Stegostoma tigrinum: one gene and its partners. The protein of the gene in region 2 interacts with the protein of the main gene of each other region in a pairwise test. Links are inferred from orthologs where the notes say so. Each region holds a gene or a part of one and is shown on either strand. Other genes may lie near its edges. The genes, in order: trim36, glrx3 and mitogen-activated protein kinase-binding protein 1.

Region 1 (6,928 bases), on a different chromosome or scaffold from region 2:
TCAACCAACAAAAATCCAACAACCTCAGTTTTGAAATGATCAATTAACTTAGCATTGAGAGCCCTTCCAATGGAAAGAATTTCTGATTTCCAATGCCCTTTGTGTTAAGAAATGTTACCTGGCAGTACCCCTAAGTCTCATTTTATGGTCTTGCTTTTAACTTCTGTTATTATCTTCACATGTGGGAAATAGTTTATTTGTCTGTTACCTTAAATCCTTCAAATCATCTTTAACACCTCAGATCACCCTCAATGTTGGATAATTACTGGAATATAACACTGGTCTATGCAACCTGTTCTCTTCAATTAAGCTTTACAGCCCCAATGGTGAGGACTAAAATGAAGACCACACTAGGAGCCTCCCGACCAGTCTAGTTTTATGTAGCGTGTGAATATACAGACTGTGCTAGCAGTATAATAACTGTTTACATTTTTGCCTAGCACGGAGCAGGCTCACGAGTTTCTGATGACCCTGTACCGCTCTCCTTAAGAGCAGATTGGGGCCTCACCCTGTAATTCGTTTTGTTTTGCAAAATAGAAAGCTGCAGAAGCTGGAATTCTAAGGCAAAAGTAAAACAAAAATTGTTGGAAACACTCAACAGGTCGGCCGATGGAGTGTTTCCCATCCCTGGCCAGCAAACGCCCACAGGTGGGAGCTGTTGATGTGGGTCACGCCTGAGATTGGCACCTACCTGTCCTAGTGAGTCTATCGAGCCTCTCGACACTGGCCGAGGAGAGGCGGCGGCTCCGGGGGCTGCTGACTGGTGTGGCCGGATTGGAGAACTCCGAGTCCAGCTCGGTGGCCGCATCGTCCCGGAACAGCAGCAACTCTTTGGCGCATTTGTGGCAGACACTGTGCTGGCAGGGAAGGATCAGGGGGTGAGTGAAGAGCTCCTTACAGCACGGGCAGATCAATTCCCGCTCTATGTTTTTAATGGGAACCTGCAAGAAAAGGGAGAGAATTATCCAAGCCCTGCGCTGCTTCTAAACAACCAAACCCCAGGCATTCTCATATGAAAACCTGCTGAAAGCTCCGGACGATTATTTACACAGGTAACACTCACGTCAATTCTTCAATATATAGAAACGTTTCTTTAAAAAATGTGGATCACATATTACAGAAATAAGCAAGGTATTGAGAAATGATCCGATCTGTGCTGAGCATGACGGCAAGACGAAACAGTTACAAATATTTCCCACTATCAAGTGCTGAAAGAGTGAGAAATGATCAATATGTGGCTGCTGGACGGAGAGCAGGGCGATGAGAAACTAATCCCACTCAGAGCGAGTTTGTTCAATACAGAGACAGATAGTCCCGGAGTCCGGTTTGTGAGTCTTATGTGTCTGAATGAGATTAGTCATTTGTGTCTGCGTGTATGTGCGTGAGTATATGTGCCTCGGTCTCGGTGTGTATGTGATGAATCTGCCTTTGTGTCTGTGTGGTGCTGTCTATGTGTGTGTGTCTTTGTGTGTGTATCTGTGTGTGGTGTGCGGTGTTTCGGTGTAATTGTGTGGTGTCTGTGTGTAAGTGTGTATGAGTAAGTGTGCGGTGTGTGTATGTGTGTGTGTTGGTGTAAATGCGTGTCTGTGTGTGTGTTGTCGGTTCTGTAAACATTTTACCATACTCCACCGCAGGAAGTTACTACTGATATATTTACGCCTTTTCACCGACACGGTTCACACAGTTAGTAGACCTGTCACAGGCGTGATGGAAATGGGAAGGACACCGGATCTGATTAGCAAGCAATCTTATCAGAACAGAAAACTGAGCTGAAGGAAAGTTGGCCATGGAACCGTTGGAAACTGTGAACATAAAGCTGTAGTCAGTAATACAGGTGCCTGTCTTAGGATCGGCTCGATGTGACAGATCAGAGGGTTCAGATCAGGTTCGGCACTGATGCTGGAAGTAACTGGGATGAGATGAAATGCAGAGGCTAATACAGTCCGGTGGGATTAAAGCGGACATGAGAAGGGGACTCATTCAGTCAAGAGCCGCCAGGGAGGAGCAGCCCAGAGCCAGACTGTGAGCGTGTGTGTGTGTGTGAGAGAGAGAGAGAGAGAGAGAGAGAAAGCTGGGACCAGCGCCTCGCAGCTTGAAGGAGAAAGACGGGGCTCATTGACTGTGTTCACTAAAAACAGGTTTGGATGGAGTGAGGCTGTGCTGTTATCCCACCTACCTCGCCTCTGGAGATCCTGTCAACGATGAATCCAAACTCACTGATATCATCAGAATCGGACATGCTGCTTGGTTAAAGGCACTTTCCTGGACAGAAGCCAGTCGGAGATGAAGTCGATGGAGCCGGGGAACAGTCAGGTTGCTGAGCTCCGAGCACCTACTGAAACCGCCCCGAAATCCTTAGCTCGGCCTCAACTCCAGCACTTCCCTGAATGTAAAACCCCGCCCCAGGGTGACCGCCGAGGGCGGGGTATGGAGATATTCCCGAACCAACCGGCGGAATGACGGCTAACATCCGCTGCTCACTCACTCGCTAACACTTGTGCTAACAGATGGCAGCATTAGACTAATGGGTTTAGCACAGAGCTCTGTCTCTCAAGGCTTTCAGGGGAACCATCAGCAGTGCCCCGCACCTATGGTCACCTTCAAATAGACTGAAAGTAATTAAAACCCCAATTTCAGGACCACTGTAAATTTCATGCCCTGGGTTCAGGACCGCAGATAGCACCAGGAACGGATGTAACTCACAGAGGCTTTTCAGGATATTACAGCAGGAAGTATTCAAATGGAATGGAGCTCTCCCCGCTTTCCCATCGGGGTTAAACAGCGGAGAGAGTGGAGTGCACGCAGTATCTCGGTGTGAAAACTGCAGCCAAGGTGGGCTGCTCGAAGTCAGACACATTGAATAGGAGACAAACAGGAGGACAATGTACCTTTGTGAGAGGTTTAGTTACAGTCTACCAGGGGCAGGTTGAGAAGGTTTAGCGATTCGCTGATCCGTTCATTTCCAGCCTGCTGAGCTGTGTATCTCAGCGGCACAGCCTCGCCCAGATTTCCCACAGCACAGCCACGGAGCACCGAGAAATCCACCTCCACCGCCCCCCCTCCCCACTCCAGGAGATACGATTAACTCCTCCCCACCCCCAGAGACAGGATTAACAACCCCCCACCCCCAGAGACAGGACTACCTCCCTACCCTCAGAGACACGATTAACCCCCTCCACCCCCAGCACCAGAATTATCGCCCCCAGAGCCAGGATTAACCTCCCCCACTCCCGAGACAGGACTAACCCCCCGCCCCCAGAGCCAGGATTAACCCCCCACGCCCAGGGCCAGGATTAGCCTCTCCCACCCACAGAGACAGGATTAACACCCCCCATCCCCAGCACCAGGATTACCCCCTCATTCCCCCCCAGAGACGGGATTAACCTCCTCCACCCCCGAGACAGGATTAACACCCCCGACCCCCAGAGGCAGGATTAACCCCCCACCCCCAGGGCCAGGATTAACACCCCCCCCCCACCCTCAGAGCAAGGATTAACCTCGCCCATCCTCGAGACAGGACTAACCCCCCTCCACCCCCAGAGATACGATTAACGTCCCATCCTCAGAGACAGGATTAACCCCCTCCAACCCCAGAGACAGGATTAACACCCCACCCTCAGAGTCTGGATTACCCCCCCCCCCACCCCCAGCACCAGGTTAACCACCCGTGTCCCAGAAAAGATTCTGGATGCACAGTCTACGTAAAGCCATTTGCCCCCAAGGGGCAGGGAGCGGTCACCGTGGGAGCCACGTTTCCCGTTCTGACAGGGTTAGGGTTGGATTCGGATTCGCTCCAAGCGATCTGGGTGCGGAGCCGGATCCGAGCTGCCGAACTGAAACCGCGATCTCACGGGGAATGCTGAGGGCAGGTGAGCTCCTATCGGAGGCGGCTGCTCGGGCACGAAGCACAACCTGGCTTTAGCATCAAGTGCACAGAGATTGCGGGTGTGTTTGCTCAAATCCACAGCCGCCGTCTATTTCTGTCGCAGTCCAAGCCGGCGGCGCTGCCCGGCCACATTTACGCTGTGTCTAAAGTTAATATTTCATTCACATTTCAACACCGCCACTTATTGCAGCCTGTTTTCCCTAAGCATTCCAGACGGAGCCCAGTACTAAACAAAGACACAATGCAATAAGACATTTGATCCTGGGATCTTAATCTTGGGCGTTCCTGCACTGGCTTTATTCCCACTATGCACACTTCGGCACGCTGATAATCGCCGGCCCGTTGCGCCCAGCATGCACTTGTATTCATTATAAACCTGAACTCTGTTTTACAACCCAGCGAAATTGTCAAATAATCGTATAGTTTGTTTTCATTTTTTGTTTACAATGTTAACAATTTTCAAACACCAAGTGGCTTAAGATTAGACAGTCCTTCGCTCAGTGACCCCGCCCACCCCGTCATTTCTTTAAAGTTATCGATTTAAGGTCATGGCTCCAACAGAACGGATTGGAAATAGTTTATTTAACGTTTAGTTTTCCCATGTTGGTCACTTAATATTGGCAAACGCTCCGAGCACCATCATAGAATCACAAGATAATATGGTGCAGAGGGAGGCAGTTCCGCCCATCGTCTTTATGCACGCCCTTGAGGATAATTTCCCAGGCCCTCTGCTCTTTCCCTGAAACCCTACAAATCTGACCCATTCAAACAATTCTTTTGGTAAAAAAGAATGAATATGCTTCGACCAACATTTCAGACAGTGAATTCTAGATCATAAAAACTCATTCCTAAATCATTCTTTCCTCATGTCAGCTCTGGGTCTTTTGCCAATTACCTCACATACCCGTTCCCGCTGTCTTACACTTCTGCCATTGTAAACTGCTTCACTTTCATTCCTGTGTCAGAGCTCTTCATGATTTTGGCTTCTATCAAACTTCCCCTTCTCTGCTGTCAGAGAGACCCTGATGTCACTAATCTCCGGTGATGACTGAGCTGTAGTAAATCAATTGGACTCTATTCACCGTCACACCCTCCACCAGAACAGTGCATCAATTTCAGCTCCACACTGCCTTCCATAGGATTTTTGGAAATCCAAACACATGATGTCCGCTCAAGTATAAGATGATGTTAGCATTAGAGCTGGAATAGCCTGTAAACTAGCTGATGCCTTCTTTACACTTTACAAATTGTCCCTGTGCTGCTGAGGTGTGCGTGGTGCTGCTGTTGGTGAACACTTTGCTAACTGGCTGCTATGCTTCCCCTAAATTACAGCAGAAACTACAATTTTAAAGTACTCAGTTGGCTGGAAAACACTTTGTGATATCCCGAGATGGTTAAAGGTCCTCTATAACTTCAAGTTTTTCTTTCTTCAAGGTTGATGCTGGCTATTGACTGTGTGAATACATGTACAGATCTGGTATATGCATATCTTCCATTGAAAAGGCACCTCTTGTAACCGACTGACATCCCAAAATGTCTTAAAACTAATAAAAACTTCTTAAAAGTGTAGCCATTGCAGTAATGTAGGAGACATGGCAATAAGTTTGCAGACAGTGAGGGCCCATAGCCATCAATGTGATAGCAACCAGATAATCTTTTAAGTAATCCAGGTTACGAGATATCTATTTACCAGAACACTGGCCGAACTTCCCAGCTGGTTTTCAAAACAGCAGTTGTTCATTTTTTGTGTGTCATGTGAAGGTCCCTGTGACAGGGCTGAAACAAGTATTCCGACTGTAGGGTGATATGTTGATATGAAAATTTCATCTTAGTACTATATTTAGACAACAATCTTGAACTCATAAATTAGTTTGTTTATTTTTTATTCCAAACCATGTTACATATCAATATATTCAATGTCAATTACTTGTGACATCAGGAAAAAGGTTCTGGTTATTACAACTGCACATTTATAAAGTAGTTTTTAATCTTATACATCTAGCCTTATTAATAATTGTAGGAACATCTTCCACAGTAAACAAAATTGAGCAATTGTGTCGTAACTCGCCTAAATGCCCACAGTAGCATTTTAATATAAAGTTAAAAAGCATTTTGTCTACTGTAGACAGTGTTATACTGTTCTCACCTAACAGCCACGCCTATAAGGTCCTGATAAAATGTTATACTTTTTTTTGTTGGAAAGCTTATGACCAGCTTACATTGCAACTCACTTAAAAATACACATCATTTTATATTTTTGTCAAAGTATATCTGAAAATTTCATATCAACCGATGGCGCAAGTTTCATTTGCTATAGTATTGTGAACTTCTCAAAATGCAACCACGATTTAATTTCAGGAATATACATAGAATCCCTACAGTGTGGAAGTAGGCCATTTGGCTCACTGAGTCCACACCAACCCTCTGGAGACCATCCCATCCAGACCCAGCCATCCTTGGAATCCTACATTTCCCATGGCTAACCCACCTAGCCTGTACACGAGGGAGGATGTGCAAACTCAAGTTCCCTGAGGCAGGAATCAAACCTGGGTCCCTGCTACTGTGAGGCAGCATTGTTAACCACTGAGCCACCATGCCACCCAAAATATGCTTGTTACTATGCCATTACTTTCTTTGCCCAGATGGGAACTGGAGCAGTTCATGGTGAAAAGTAATGGAAACCAATTTTTGGCAAGAGAGATAGCAAGAACTGCAGATGCTGGAGTCAGAAGTAACACAGTGTGGAGCTGGAGGAACACAACAGGCCAGGAAGCATCAGAGCAGCAGTTTCTGGTCAACACCCTTCTTCAGAAATGGGGAGGGGGAAGGGAGCTTAGAAATAAATAGAAAAAGGAGGGGTGGGGCTGGGGAAGGTAGGTGGGATGGTGGTTAGTGAGCGCAGGTAGTCAGTGGTGGGGATTGGTCAGTGGGGTGGGAGGAACAGATAGGTGGGAGAGAAGATGAGCAGGTTGCGCCAGATCAAGGAGGCAGGGTGAGAGCGAGGATTGGACATGGGATGACGCCGGGGCTGGGGAGATTTTA
Region 2 (7,219 bases):
TGCACCCCAAGAAGAATATAGACCAAGCACTGGAACAGAGGGAACCAAGCAGAATGTTGTCAAACAGTTCACCAACTTGGAAGTGTTATCCTAGATAACAAAGTGTGGAGCTGGATGAACACAGCAGGCCAAGCAGCATTCTAGGAGCTCAAAAGGTGACGTTTCGGGCCAGATCCTTCTTCAGAAAAGCTCAGCAGGTTTTCCGTGCAGCACCACATGGTTCCACATGTTTTCTAGAACATTTTCACCAGGGCTGCCTCCAAAGCATCCTCAAAATCCTCTGGTAGGAGTGCATCACAAACACTGAAGTTCTAGAAATAGCCAACATCACCGGCATCTTGATGACAACTGATCAAGATCATGCTGCATGGAAAACTGACCACCATTAATCAAAATAGTGGAGGTTTGTGGCAAACATTTCAGGGACACCCTGAGAAGTTTTTCTGCATTCACCTATCACCATCCCACCTACCTTACCCTTCCACATCGACCATCGTGAGTGGGAAGCTCAGATCACAGGATACGATGCCTAGAGATGCCAAATCAGGTGTACTATAAACACTGAGATTAAGTGAATAACCAGTATGAACAAGAAAGATAAGGCAGCGGGGTCCAATTCTCCCCAGTAGCAACTACATCTTCACTTCCACCCACTGTGGCTGAATCTGACAGTCACAAAGATCTCACTAATCACTAGTAGCCTGCAAACAATTTCAACCATCCTAAGATCTGCAAAGAAATGCTAAGAGGACTCTAATGAACTTACAATTTAGGGGCATCTGGATGTAAGTATAACATTGCAAATGTTCTTCCTCTTCTATGCACCTTCATTTTGTTGATAAAGAAGTTTATAGTTTCTCTACATCCCATGATTTTCACCATATAACCCTGTTCAGTTTCTGGACTGATCAACAAATTTTGAAGTATATATTCTGCTTGCCACAGATTGATAAGAAAATCCAGCTGATTATTATAATAGTTGTTCATGCAATCTGTGCATAAATGAATTTCATTTTTAATAGTATTAATTTGCTCAGTGCATACTGTTTACAAATTAACTAGATTAATACTTTATGAGCAGTTTGGCTGCAGGTGACAGAACAAGCCAACAGTCTCTAAAACATGCCACTGATGTTAAGTTTATAAAGAATAAGCAAAGCCAGAAGAAACAAAAAACACTGTATTGCAGAAGCTCACATTAGCAAATTATGCACAACTTGTTTTCGGTAATTTTGTCATACCAGGTCTTGAACTTGAACTTGTTCTTTCTAGGATTGTAAAACTGTTAGCTTTCCTCTCCAGCGATAGTAAGAACTGCAGATGCTGGAGTCAGGGATTACAGTGTGGAAGTGGAGGAACACAGCAGGCCAGGCAACATCAGAGGAGCAGGCAAGTTGATGTTTCAGTTGGGACCCTTCTTCAGAAACAGGGGTGGGGAAGGGAGCTCAGAAATAGAGAGAGGAGGAGTGGGGCTGGGTAAGGTAGGTGGGATGGTGATAGGTGAATGCAGGCAGAGTGTGGTTTGGATTGGGCAGTGAGGTAGGAGGGGTGGACAGGTGGAAGCGAAGATGGACAGGTTGTGTCAGGTAAAGGAAGCGAGGTTGAGAGGGAGGGTTGGTCATGGGATGAGGCCAGGGGCAAAGAGATTTTGAAACTGGTGAAATCCACATTTAGGCCATTGGGCTACAGGCTCTTGAGGTGCTGCTCCTCCAGTTTGTGGGTGGCATCACTGTGACCAAGCGGTGGCTTGGAGACCATATTGTAGCGCAGAGCTCTGTTTGTGACAAACGACAACACCTTCTGGTCACCAACTATTTTAACTCCCTCTCCCCCTCTCTGGGTGATACGTCCATCCTGGGCCCCCTCCAGTGTCACAAACCCACAAACTGGAGAAGCCTACAGCCTAAATAAGGATTTACCAGTTTTAAAACATCCCCACCACTGGCCTCATTTCGTGTCCAACGTTCCCTCTCATCCCCAAGGCCTTGACCTGGCACAACCTGTCCATCTTCTTGCCTTCCTATCCACCGCTCCCACCTGACTGACCAATCCCCACCACTCCCTACATGCATTCACCTATCACCATTCCACCTACCATCCCCAACCCTATCCCTCCTCAATCTATATTTCTGAGCTCCCATCTTCCGCTCCGTTTCTGAAGAACGGTCTCAACCCGAGACGTCACGTTTCTTGCTTCTGACGCAGCCTGGCCTGCTGTGTTCCTCCAGCTCCACACTGTATCATCCCAGCTTTTGTCTCCATTCATCTTCCCTCCCAAAATTCGTAAATATAAACTTAGCAGCATCTAATCATTGTTTCTCTTGTTATTTGGGAATGACAAGAATCAGGACCACTAATACTCCTACACAGAATAAATCACGACAAGTGAATGATACAGCAGCCCGTTTCCTCATCGCAATGTCTGCGTAAATACCCCTTGACTGGAGATAACACCCACATAAACAATTCACCTAGTCAAACGTGTTCGGATGGAGGCAAAGGTGGTTGGAAGTTACTGCCAGTTTCTTTACGACTCACGTTTTCAAAAAAAAAGTTCATGGTTAATTATACCGAATCGTCTCTTTTCGATTCGCACAATCCCTCTTCCCCAAGCCCAACCCCCGTCAGCAACAACGCCAGGAGAACAGCTTCGTGTGTCTGAGGTTCACCGCCCGACTCTCCACCAGTGCCTTTCCACCGCTCCATGGGCGGATCCCGCACTGAAAACCCGCCGGGCTTCCTTCAGCCCGAAAACTCTACGGGAAAGGCTGAAGGAAGCAGCTCCTTGGGCCTCAGCAATGTGCCCACACACCGGCCTTTCCATCCCCGGGGGGGTGTGGGGAAAGGAGGCCGCTTCCATCAGCCCGGGGAACTGGTGTACACGTTTTTCGGGAAATCTCCAAACGTCACCCCCACGGCCCCGAACCTACCTCTTAGCTTTTTCCAGCACCTCCTGGAACTGGGTCGCACTCTCAACGGCCGCCGCCGCCATGATGAGCAGACCACACTAGTGGCACATCGAATGATCCGAGTGATGATGGATTGATCAGTGCCCGCCCCCTTTGCCTTTTACAGGCATGTCCCAGCTTCAGTCTGTCAAGAAGCAGCATTGCCAAGACTTTTTCACAATGTATGACACATACAACCTTTCAGTTCCTTTTTTGTTCGTTTGAGGGTGTGCAGTGCAACACATTTACGCTTCCTTACTAAGGTTGACTCATTAAAGAAATTTATGGATTTTTTTAAAGAGATTCATTGATTTATTCAAAGGACCGTTAATATCATGAGCTCAGTATTTATCAGCTTTGATTTCAGCACATGGGTAATACCAATTCGAAACCTTGCCATTCGAGTTTAAAATTTCCCCAGTTACTTTGGAAAAAAGTAGTGAGCTGAGTTGTAACCAGTGAACCCAATGGTGTAGTTTAAATGGAAGACCCCTGAGAAGAACATAAAAATATTAAAAATCTTATATCCTCAATCTTCACCATGTTATCAGAATAACTATGAAAAAGGTAATCATGTGGAATAGTTTGGAGATTTAAAGGGTGATACAGCTATACGTTTTGTGCAATGAATAACTGGAGCTGAATGATTGTGCAAACTGAAAGAACTGTGGAAGCTGTAAATCAGGAAAAAAGACAGAAGTTGCTGGAAAAGCTCATCAGGTCTGCAGAGCTGATGGTAGCTAGGAAACTGTTGGCTTATATGTAGAAGATAGGGTAGGGGAGAGGGGTAGGGAGGAAATGATAGGTGGGAATAGAACCCAGAGAGAAGAACTGTTGGACAAAGGAGTTGATAATGAACAAAAACAGAAGTTGCTGGAAAAGCTTAGCAGGTCTGGCAGCATCTGTGGAGAAAAAAAATCAGTTTACATTTCAGATCTGGTGACCCTTCCTCAGAACAGTTGATAACGATCTGGCTAGGAGAGTGAATACCTGCTGATGGAGACTGTAAGTCACAAACAATATGTAGTGTGTAGTGGCAGGCTATGTAAATCCCGATAGTGTGGAGGTAGGCCATCAAGTCCACGGTGAACTTCTGAGAAGCAACCCACCCTAGACACAGTGGGCAATTTAGCATAGGCAATCCACCTAAGCTGTGCATTTTTGGACTGCAGGAGGAAACTAGAGCACCTGGAGAAAACCCACACAAACATGGGGAGAATGTACAAACTCCACACACACTGTCACCCGAGGGTGGAATTGAACGCAGGTCAATGGCATGGTGAGGCAACAGTCCTAACCACTGAGCCACCATGCCACCGTAAAGATGATAACAAGGTAGACAAACAAGAAGCTAGAAGAACATAGCAGCCAGGCAGCATTTAGAGGAAAAGAGCAGTCAGCATTTCAGGTATTAGTGATAATGGGAACTGCAGATGCTGGAGAATCCAAGATAATGAAATGTGAGGCTGGATGAACACAGCAGGCCCAGCAGCATCTCAGGAGCACAAAATCCGATGAAGGGTCTAGGCCCGAAACGTCAGCTTTTGTGCTCCTGAGATGCTGCTGGGCCTGCTGTGTTCATCCAGCCTCACATTTCATTATCTAGCATTTCAGGTATTGTTGGCCAGTAAACAGGGTGGTGTGTTAAAGTGGAGTTCTAGTGAAGCTCAGTGCAAACCGAAAGAACAGCAATCTCATTTTCAGAGATAGTAGGAAATGCAGACGCTGGAGAAGCTGAGATAACAAGATGTAGAGCTGGATGAACACAGCAGGCCAAGCAGCATCAGAGCAGCAGGAAGGCTGATGTTTCAGGCCTAGACCCTTCTTCAGAAGTGGGGGAGGGGAAGGGGGTACTGAAATAAATCGGGAGAGAGGGGGAGGCGGATAGAAGATGGATAGAGGGGAAGATAAGTGGAGAGGAAACAGACAGGTCAACAAGGTGGGGATGGAGCCAGAAAAGGAGAGTGTGGGCAGGGAGGGAAAAGATAGGTCAGTCCAGAGAGGACTGACAGGTCAAGGGGGCAGGATGAGTTTAGTGGGTAGGAGTGGGGGTGGGACTTGAGGTGGCAGACAGGGATAGGTGGGAGGAAGGACAGGCTAGGGAGGCGGGGCGAGCTGGGCTGATTTTGGTATGCGGTAGGGGGAGGGGAGAGTTTGAAGCTTGTGAAGTCCACATTGATACCATTGGTCTGCAGGGTTCCCAAGAGAAATATGAGTTCTTGTTCCTGAAACCATCGGGTAGCATCGTTGTGGCACTTCAGGAGGCCCAGGATGGACATGTTTTCTGAGGAATGGGAGTTGGTGTTGAAATGGTTCACGGCTGGGAGGTGCAGTTGTTTAGTGCGAACCGAGCGTAGGTGTTCTGCAAAGTAGTCCTTAAGCCGCCGCTTGGTTTCCCTGACATAGAGGCGGCCATGACGGTAACAGCAGATGCAGTATATCACCTTAGCAGATGTGCAGGTGAACATCTGTTTGATGTGGAATGTCTTCTTGGGGCCTGGGATGGGAGTGAGGAGGGAGGTGTAGGGGTAGGTGTAGCACTTCCTACAGTTGCAGGGAAAAGTGTTGGGTGTGGCGGGGCTGGAGGGGAGTGTGGAATGGACAAGGGAGTCATGGAGAGAGTGGTCCCTCCAGAAAGCAGATAAGGGTGCGGTTCAAAGCTTCACAAGCATCAAAATGTCCCCTCCCCCTACTGCATCCCAAAACCAGCCCAGCTCATCCCCGCCTCCCTAACATGTCCTTCCTCCCACCTATCCTCTCCTCCCATCTCAAGCGCCACCCCCATCTCCTACCTACTAACCTCATCCCCCCACCCTCGACCTGTCCATCTTCCTGGACTGACCTATCTCGTCTCTACCTCCCCACCTACACTCTCCTTTACTGACTCCATCCCCACCTCTTTGACCTGTCTGTCTCCTCTCCACCTATCTTCTCCTCTATCCATCTTCGATCCGCCTCCCCCTCTCTCCCTATTTATTTGAGAATACCCTTCCCCTCCCCCATTTCTGAAGAAGGGTCTAGGCCTGAAACGTCAGCTTTCCTGTTCCTCTGATGCTGCTTGGCCTGCTGTGTTCATCCAGCTCTACACCTTGTAACCTCATTTTCACCTCTTTTAAACTATCAGTTCTGAGGAAGGGTCACTGGAATTAAAATGATAACTCTGATTTTTCTTCATGCAAGTCTACTTTTTGTGTTTATGTTGTATCTGTTTCCTGTCTCCATCATTGTAAAGCTTACTTGGAAATTGTCTTTCTTTTCCCAAGACTGGGGGCATATTGAAAATACAGATGTATATTTACAGACTATGTGAGATAAGCTGGAAGAGGTCAAATTATTTGGACACTTTCTGAACTGAAAAGCATCATTGATCTTTTGTAATTTCATTCAGCAGGACTTGAGTTGTAAGCCACAGCTAATTATTGAAGTCAAATTCAATGTGTTCTGTAAATCATCTCCTCCTTTCACCTGAAATCAAATAATTGTGGAGAAACAGATAAGCATCAATTTCAGGATGAGAAAGTGTTTATCACTGTGATTACTGTTAGAAATTACTTGAAGAGAGGATATTAATGATTGCCGAGCAACCTTCCCTGATCTGAGAACTATGTTTTGCATGACCCTGAAGTCAATGAGTAAAGAAGTCACCCCCCAGGAAGCTGTAGTCTCTCTCCTGAAGTCCTGCTTTCAGAAGACTTCTCTGGGAATTTGATGGTTTTGGACACTAATTCTGTCCTGGACTGAAATTCTCAGCAAGATGAGTTCAAGTGGAATGGGAATCCAAGCTGGACAAAATTGGTAGGATATTTTAATGAATGTGAGATGCTGTTGCTTTTTTATCCTTTTGTTTTCAGACTTTTGACCAGAGGAGTGTTATATATATCCCATTTTGCCTTAAACCCATCTTCTCTGCAGAGACATTTTTTGTGCTGTTTGTATGTTGAGAAAGAGGATATGGTTTTAATTCCACATCATAGTTTAGGTATTGATCAGTTGTTGCTACTTCTTTTAAGTTTTGTTCACTATAAACAGGTTATTTTGAGCTCATTATAGACTGGTCAATGCAATGACTCCACAGAGTTCGCTATCCTGTCACCAAGTCACCTTTTATTTGCACATGGACAATTTTTGTGACTGAGTTAGCTCAGAACGAAGAGAACCTCTGACATTCCTTTTTATATTTGTCGGTCAGGGCTCCTTGATTGGGACAGCCCCAATCAGGAAACTCACATGTATTCTATTATGTCCACCTGGCTGACATCTTTACAATCACT
Region 3 (7,205 bases), on a different chromosome or scaffold from region 2:
GAAAGAAGAACATGCTGGATTGTCCGATACATGGTTTCCTTACGGATATCACTGGGATTTTAGAAAGCTGGGCTTTAATTTGCACAACGTGCGGATCACGGAGCTGCATCAGGCTGCTGGCAATGATGAGGCACCCAGGGAAATCATTGGCTTGCACAACCAATATTCCACAATGATGCACTGCTGGGGTTGGCGGGGGGAGCGCAGTGAGGATGAAGAGCGGGGAAGGGAGAGGTTTATTCACAAAGCAGATCAGCAGCAGCGAAGGCCAGCCAGGTAGGTATTTACCATGATACAGACAGTGCCAGTCTTAAACTTCTATCTCACATGGGTCTCCTGCTCACCGTGAAAACTTTCACTGAATGAACGTGGGGGCAACAGACTGACCTGCCTGCATTCAGCAGCAGTGTAAATTGAGGTGACGAATTTCACGCTTGCACACTGTCTGATGATATAGCATCGTCATGTTACGCCTGTTTGACCAATTCATGAACCAGAGTGACCTCCATTGGAGACGCCTCAGATATATCAGTAACAAGCATGTTCCCACTGCCTGCAGCAGCTCTCTCCATTGAAACCAGAAACCAGTATCATCAGGTTTATCTGCGAAATAACATCGAGCACACAGGACACAATGAAGAGATCTGAAACCCAGACAGGTGGTGCACAGTAATGGCATCAAGATCCGCGATTTCCACAACGGGTACGAACTGAGACCGTAGGCACACTGACCACTTGGGACAGGGGCCGGGTGAGCGCTGACCACACAAGACATTGGCAGGGACAGCACTGACCACTCAGGACATTGGCAGGGAGAGCACTGGCCACGCAGGACAGACCCAGAACACTGGCTGACCACTCCAAACACAGCTAAAATGTTTGCTGACGGCTTGGTCAGGGCTAGAATACACACTGACCCACTCCAGACAGGGGCTGGGAATACACAATGACCGACTCCGGAGTGGGGCTGGGATACACATGGACCCACACCAGACAGGGCGGGAATACACACCGACTCACTCCGGACAGGGGCTGGGATACACACTGACCCACTCTGGACAGGGGATGGGAATACACACCGACCCACTCCGGACAGGGGTTGGGATACACACTGACCCACTCTGTACAGGGGATGGGAATACATACCGACCCACTCCGGACAGGGGCTGGGATACACACTGACCCACTCTGGACAGGGGCTGGGAATACACACCTACTACTCCGGACAGGGGCGGGAATAAACAACGATCCACTCCGGACAGGCGCTGGGATACGCACCGACCCACTCCGGACAGGGGTAGGAATACACACTGACCCACTCCGGACAGGGCGGGAATACACACCGACCCACTCCGGAAAAGGGGCTGGAATACACACCGACCTACTCCGGACAGGGCGGGAATACACACCAACCCACTCTGGACAGGGGCTGGGAATACACACCGACCCACTACGGACAGGGGCGGGAATACACACCTACTACTCCGGACAGGGGCTGGGAATACACACCAACCCACTCTGGACAGGGGCTGGGATACACACCGACCCACTCCGGAAAAGGGGCTGGAATACACACTGACCCACTCTGGAAAAGGGGCTGGAATACACACCGACCCACTCCGGACAGGAGCTGGGATACACACTGACCCACTCTGGACAGGGACTGGGAATACACACTGACCCACTCAGGACGGAGCAGGAATACATACCAACCCACTCCGGAAAAGGGGCTAGAATACCCACCGTCCCACTCCGGAAAAGGGGCTGGAATACCCACCGTCCCACTCCGGACAGGGGCTGGGTTAAACACCGACCCACACCGGATAAGAGGCTGGAATACACACCCACCCACTCCGGACAGGGGCTGGAATACACATTGACTCACTCTGGACAGGCGCTGGGAATACACACCGACCCACTCCAGACAGGGGCAGGAATACACATTGACCCACTCCGGACAGGGCTGGAATACACATTGACTCACTCCGGACAGGCGCTGGGAATACACACCGACCCACTCCAGACAGGGGCAGGAATATACACTGACTCACTCCGGACAGGGGCTGGAATACACACCGACCCACTCCGGACAGGGGCGGGGCTACACACTGACCCACTCTGGACAGGGGCGGGAATTCACACTGACTCCCTCCGGAGAGGGGCTGGAATACACACCGACCCACTCTGGACAGGGGCGGGAATTCACACCGACCCACTCTGGACAGGGGTGGGAATTCACACTGACTCCCTCCGGACATGGGCTGGGATACACACTGACCCACTCCAGACAGGGCTGGGATACACAAGGGATGGAGAGAGCTGCGGAGAAAGATGCCAGGTGGGCGCGGAGCAAGTGGGCAACATCCAAAGAGGGATAAGCCCGGGATGGAAGGATAAGCCGGGGATGGAGGGTGGTGGGGGTACAGGTACAGGTCATGTCCCCCCTCTGAAAGCCCCCCCCCAGGGAGGGAAAAGGCACATTCGCCCCTACCCCCACACACACACCACACCCCCTCCACCCCCCACTCCCTGCGGCGGTCTGTGTGTGTCGACCGCAGCGCACAGGTTTGGCAGAGCACTACCCCCAGCGCCCACCTCCCCGTCTCCCAAAGCCCACCCGGAGCGTGTGTCTGTCTCTCCCTCTCCCGGACACCTCGCCAAGTGCTGCAGCAGCTCACCATCGGTGCGGGCAAGAGCTGGGGGTGCTGGCCGTGCAAAGGCCGGGAGGGATGTACGCCAGGATTCCCCGCCTTCCCCCCGCACCCAAACCCTCAAACCCCGAGGGGCAGAGTGACAGCGAGGCGGGGGACTCCCGGGACACTCACCTTGTCGGCGATCTGCCCGCCTGCTGTTCGCTGTTTGCTCCTCCGCAGCTTGAGGGACGGGGAGCGGAGCAGCTTCTTGATCCTGGTGGTGAGGTTGGCCGTCCCCAGCTCAGCCATGGCTGTCTCAGCCCTTTTCCTTCTCCTGCTCCCTCGGCCGGCCACCTACCTCCGGGCAGCGCAACCCCCCACCACCTCCCCAGCCGGGATCACCGAGCCCCTGCCGCTGTCTCTGCCCGTCTCTCCAGCAGCATTTTCCCCGGGACGCTCCGGCTGAGAGCCTCCCCCGCACCCCGGCACAGACAATCACCTCCCCCCACTCCGCCTCCCCCCAACAGCCGTACCCAGCGATCAGAGCCCGCAAGTACCGCCCCGACCCCCTCCCCCCCACCCCCACCACCCCCCCCCCACCCCCGCAAACCTTCCCACCGAAATCACCCGGGCCGATCAGCTCCCACTAAAGCCCCCACCCCCTCCTCTATGCGATCGCTGTGCGGATCTCTCACGGATTACCGCCCCCTCCGTCAATGTTCAAACATTACACAGCGCGCAGAGGCAGCGAGGGCACTGGGACAGGCTTCACACACCGTTCCCTGCGCACCACTCACTGGGACAAAAGCCAGTTCAGAGAAATAGGTCACACGTACACTCAGGCTGGTACATATTACACATACACCCAAACCTGGTACACATTACACCTACACCCCGACTGATACACATTACACGTACACTCCGACTGATACACATTACACCTACACCCCGACTGATACACATTACACCTACACCCTGACTGATACACATTACACGTACACTCCAACTGATACACATGACACATACACCCCGACTGACACACATTACACCTACACCCCAACTGATACACATTACACCTACACCCTGACTGATACACATTACACGTACACTCCGACTGATACACATTACACATACACTCAGGCTGGTACATATTACACATACACCCAAACCTGGTACACATTACACCTACACCCCGACTGATACACATTACATGTACACCCCGACTGATACACATTACACGTACACTCCGACTGATACACAATACACAGACACCCCGACTGACACACATTGCACACACACTCCGACTGATACACATTACACATACACCCCGACTGATACACATTACACCTACACCACGACTGATACACATTACACATACACCCCGACTGATACACAATACACATACACCCTGACTGATACACATTGTGCAAAACTGAATCTAACTGGGTGCTCAATTCAACTGCAGCCCGAGTGGGACATTTACGTTTAGCACTGTACTATGTGAATCAAACAGATGCAGCATGGGATTGGGAAAATTATCGTTGCTTCAAGTTCCGGGCCCCAGATGAAAATCATTGTCTCTTTGGCTGCAGAATAGTGGTAGGAATCTGTAATGATTGCAACAAGATCTGCACCCTCATAGGATACAAGTTGCCTGATTGGGCCTGCTCATCTGGTGCAATCAGGGAGCCCTGGCTGACAGATATAAACAGAAGGGTCAGCGGTTCTGAGGGTGGGCTCTGAGGGAGCTGGATCAGTGCCACGGATGCTCTATGTGATAGTAAAGGGTGACTTGGTGATGGGATACTGGCCTCTGTGGAGTTATCTCAGACAGTATTAAGGAAGCTTTACTTGCAATTTAAATATGTGGGGAGACATTTCCCATGCTGTACCTGTCTTGGAAGTGTTTGATGCGGGCCACGTCAAGAAGGCTTTACATTCAGTTTAAAAGAATAGATCGGAGACATGGAATCCCTGTTGTAGCATTCTCTGAATGAATTGCCAGGGAACTGAATTCCACTGTGCCTGGAACTTCTGAATGGCTCCTTTCAAATCTGTGAGTTTGCAGGATTCTGATTAAAATGAAATAAAAATAATTCCTCAGGAAAATTTATGTCTATTAAACACATGAAGGTGCTGCCCCAACCACGATTCTGCTGTGTTTTTACATCTATACTGGCCTGGTGATTTATTATGGAAAGTTCATATATACGTACACAGACCTTCCATCCTCTTAACTTTGCATCAACTCTTATAAAAGAGTCAGTCTTGGAAACGGTTGCCTCGCCAAGTCATAGCTTTAAGGTGTTGGCACACTGCGATTCCAAGCGAGGTCTGGTATTGACATGTGATGCTTCCCCATATGGCATTAGGGTAGTATGAGCTCTTAGATGGTGAGGGAAGACCAATAAAGTATCCATCCAGGGCTTTGGCTAATGCAGAGCCTAAATAGACCCAGATAGAGAAGGAAGGTTTGGTGGTCATGTTTGGAGTCAGGAAGTTCCACCAATACCTTTATGGATATAAATTTGTCATAATAATGGACCACAAACCCCTGCTTGGTGGGGGGGGTCTACTGAAAGGGGGCAAGGCAGTGCCACCCAGAGCTTCAAGACAAATTCAGCAGTGGGCTCTAATACAAAGTGTGTATAATTACAAGTTAGAACATAGCCCAGGAGACCAAGTAGTGAATGTGGATGTATTGAGCCATCTCCCACTGACAGATACACCACCGGTGGCACCAGTCACTGGAAGAGCCTGTCATGGCTTTCCAACTTCTGCACACACTTCCAGTCACAGCCAACAACACCAGAGTTCGGACACGGAAGGATCTGGTTCCAACAAAACTGAAGCAGCAGCGGGGGGTGGGGGGGTGGGCGGGGGGTGGTGGTGGTGGTGACGGGGGAAACCGAAGGGTTACCACAACCAGTACTGAAATCTTTCCGGACCTGGAGAGACTGGGCCGCAGAAGAGGGCGACACATTATTGCAGGGAGCAAGTTGCCCTGAGCAGATACTGGCTAAACTCCACCAGGGTCATCCAGGGCTTTCCACAAAGAAGAACGTTGGCGAAAAGTTACGATGGTGGCCAGGACTGGATGCAGAGAAACCCAAACTTTTTGGCACCTTTCTGGATAATTGTCACAAAGGGACAAACAGAAATATATCTAATACAGAAATCCAGGAGACACTTATTCACACAGCAAACGACGGAAATCTAAATGTTTATAACCATGAGTTTTAGTTTAAATGAATAACGTTGACACTTCTTTTTGGAAGATAATTTGATTTTAAGAAAGCAAGTCGTGAAGGGGTCTACAAAAGTATGTGGGATAACAAAGTGTGGAGCTGGATGAACACAGCAGGCCAAGCAGCATCTCAGGAGCACAAAAGCTGACGTTTGGGGCCTAGACCCTTCATCCCATTATCTCTGATTACAAAAGTATACAGGTTAGTTACGTGAGTTGGAACTCTCCAAACATCCTTGTAAATATTTTCTGCACCCATTCTAATTTAACAGCATTCTTCCTATAGCAGGCCGATTTGAATTGTACGCAGTACTCCAAACGTAGCTGCCGAATATTTTCATGATTGCTGGTATGAAGACTTCTGCTGGGTCACCCCTCTGAAGAAAAGAGTCACAAGCTCCTTCAACCAAATCTATTTAGTAGAGTAAATTCACACTGTTCTTATGTAAAGAGGGATAGTCCTCAGAGATGGGGGATCCATGGAGATTCACGGTCAACTCCTGTTCCTTCCACAATTGTGAGAGTGAATGGAACAGCACCGACAGTAGATTTAGCGGAAAACTGGGCAAAATGTTGATGGGGGCAACATTAGTGATTGTGTGCTTCGTTGTGTGCTGTACAAATCTATAACTGATACGCAGCACATTCCACGTTGATATTCACACGCTCGTACTCCATTGCTTCAAAATTCAACAAACAAAAATCCAGCACGTTGGCCATAAATGTGCTTTTTGTTCGATGAATGCATTCCAGAGGTGCCCACACACAGCAAGCTCCGTAGCATTGCTAAAACCCTTCCTCTACAGCATCAAACGTTGGATTCTCAGAGATCTGATTAAAGCACAGATCACAGCCACAGTTTTAAACCTCCCTCCACCCCCAACCCTCCAACCAGCCCATAGGCCTAACAAATACAATTTGAGACACATTGGAGAGAGTCCAGAGAGTGGAAAATATCAGATTAATTCAACCCGAGCTCAACTTAGTGCATTCCTGCTACCCCAACCTTGGTTAATTCAAGTTTCAGGCTAAGATTCTATCTTAAAGGAGATGAGTGAGTGGGGTCAATGCTGAAGACTGAGATGTCCTAGTTCAGTGATGGTGTCACAGGGGTGAGCCCCACACCCTCCACCCCCTGCTGTAGCTGCCTGCAGCAACAAATAGAAGGGAGGACATATAAATGGACCAGGCTCAGCCACATTTCAAAATGCTACCCTCTGGGGCAGGATGAGGAGGAGCCCCTGAACACTTCACAGAGTTTCCCCACCTCCAGCATGTATTATGCTTGTGATCTTGTGACCATATCAGAGTTTAGGGCCTAAACT

What was found.
Region 1: the proteins of glrx3 (region 2) and trim36 interact in binary tests that used the Homo sapiens proteins (3 or more experiments, as listed by UniProt). The two-hybrid records come from large-scale screens. The link is inferred for Stegostoma tigrinum from reciprocal best matches to the Homo sapiens genes GLRX3 and TRIM36.
Region 3: the proteins of glrx3 (region 2) and mitogen-activated protein kinase-binding protein 1 interact in binary tests that used the Homo sapiens proteins (3 or more experiments, as listed by UniProt). The two-hybrid records come from large-scale screens. The link is inferred for Stegostoma tigrinum from reciprocal best matches to the Homo sapiens genes GLRX3 and MAPKBP1.

Annotation. Positions count from the first base shown.
Region 1 is NC_081356.1:77,617,495-77,624,422, reverse strand, and holds the start of trim36 (E3 ubiquitin-protein ligase TRIM36), read right to left. Parts: upstream 3,036-6,928; 5' UTR 2,240-3,035; coding exon 2,177-2,239; intron 942-2,176; coding exon 692-941; intron 1-691. UniProt on the Homo sapiens protein: E3 ubiquitin-protein ligase which mediates ubiquitination and subsequent proteasomal degradation of target proteins. Involved in chromosome segregation and cell cycle regulation. May play a role in the acrosome reaction and fertilization.
Region 2 is NC_081373.1:35,715,568-35,722,786, reverse strand, and holds the start of glrx3 (glutaredoxin 3), read right to left. Parts: upstream 3,045-7,219; 5' UTR 2,993-3,044; coding exon 2,931-2,992; intron 1-2,930. UniProt on the Homo sapiens protein: Together with BOLA2, acts as a cytosolic iron-sulfur (Fe-S) cluster assembly factor that facilitates [2Fe-2S] cluster insertion into a subset of cytosolic proteins.
Region 3 is NC_081363.1:79,942,388-79,949,592, reverse strand, and holds the start of mitogen-activated protein kinase-binding protein 1, read right to left. Parts: upstream 3,102-7,205; 5' UTR 2,943-3,101; coding exon 2,826-2,942; intron 460-2,825; exon of another isoform or gene 388-459; intron 1-387. UniProt on the Homo sapiens protein: Negative regulator of NOD2 function. It down-regulates NOD2-induced processes such as activation of NF-kappa-B signaling, IL8 secretion and antibacterial response. Involved in JNK signaling pathway.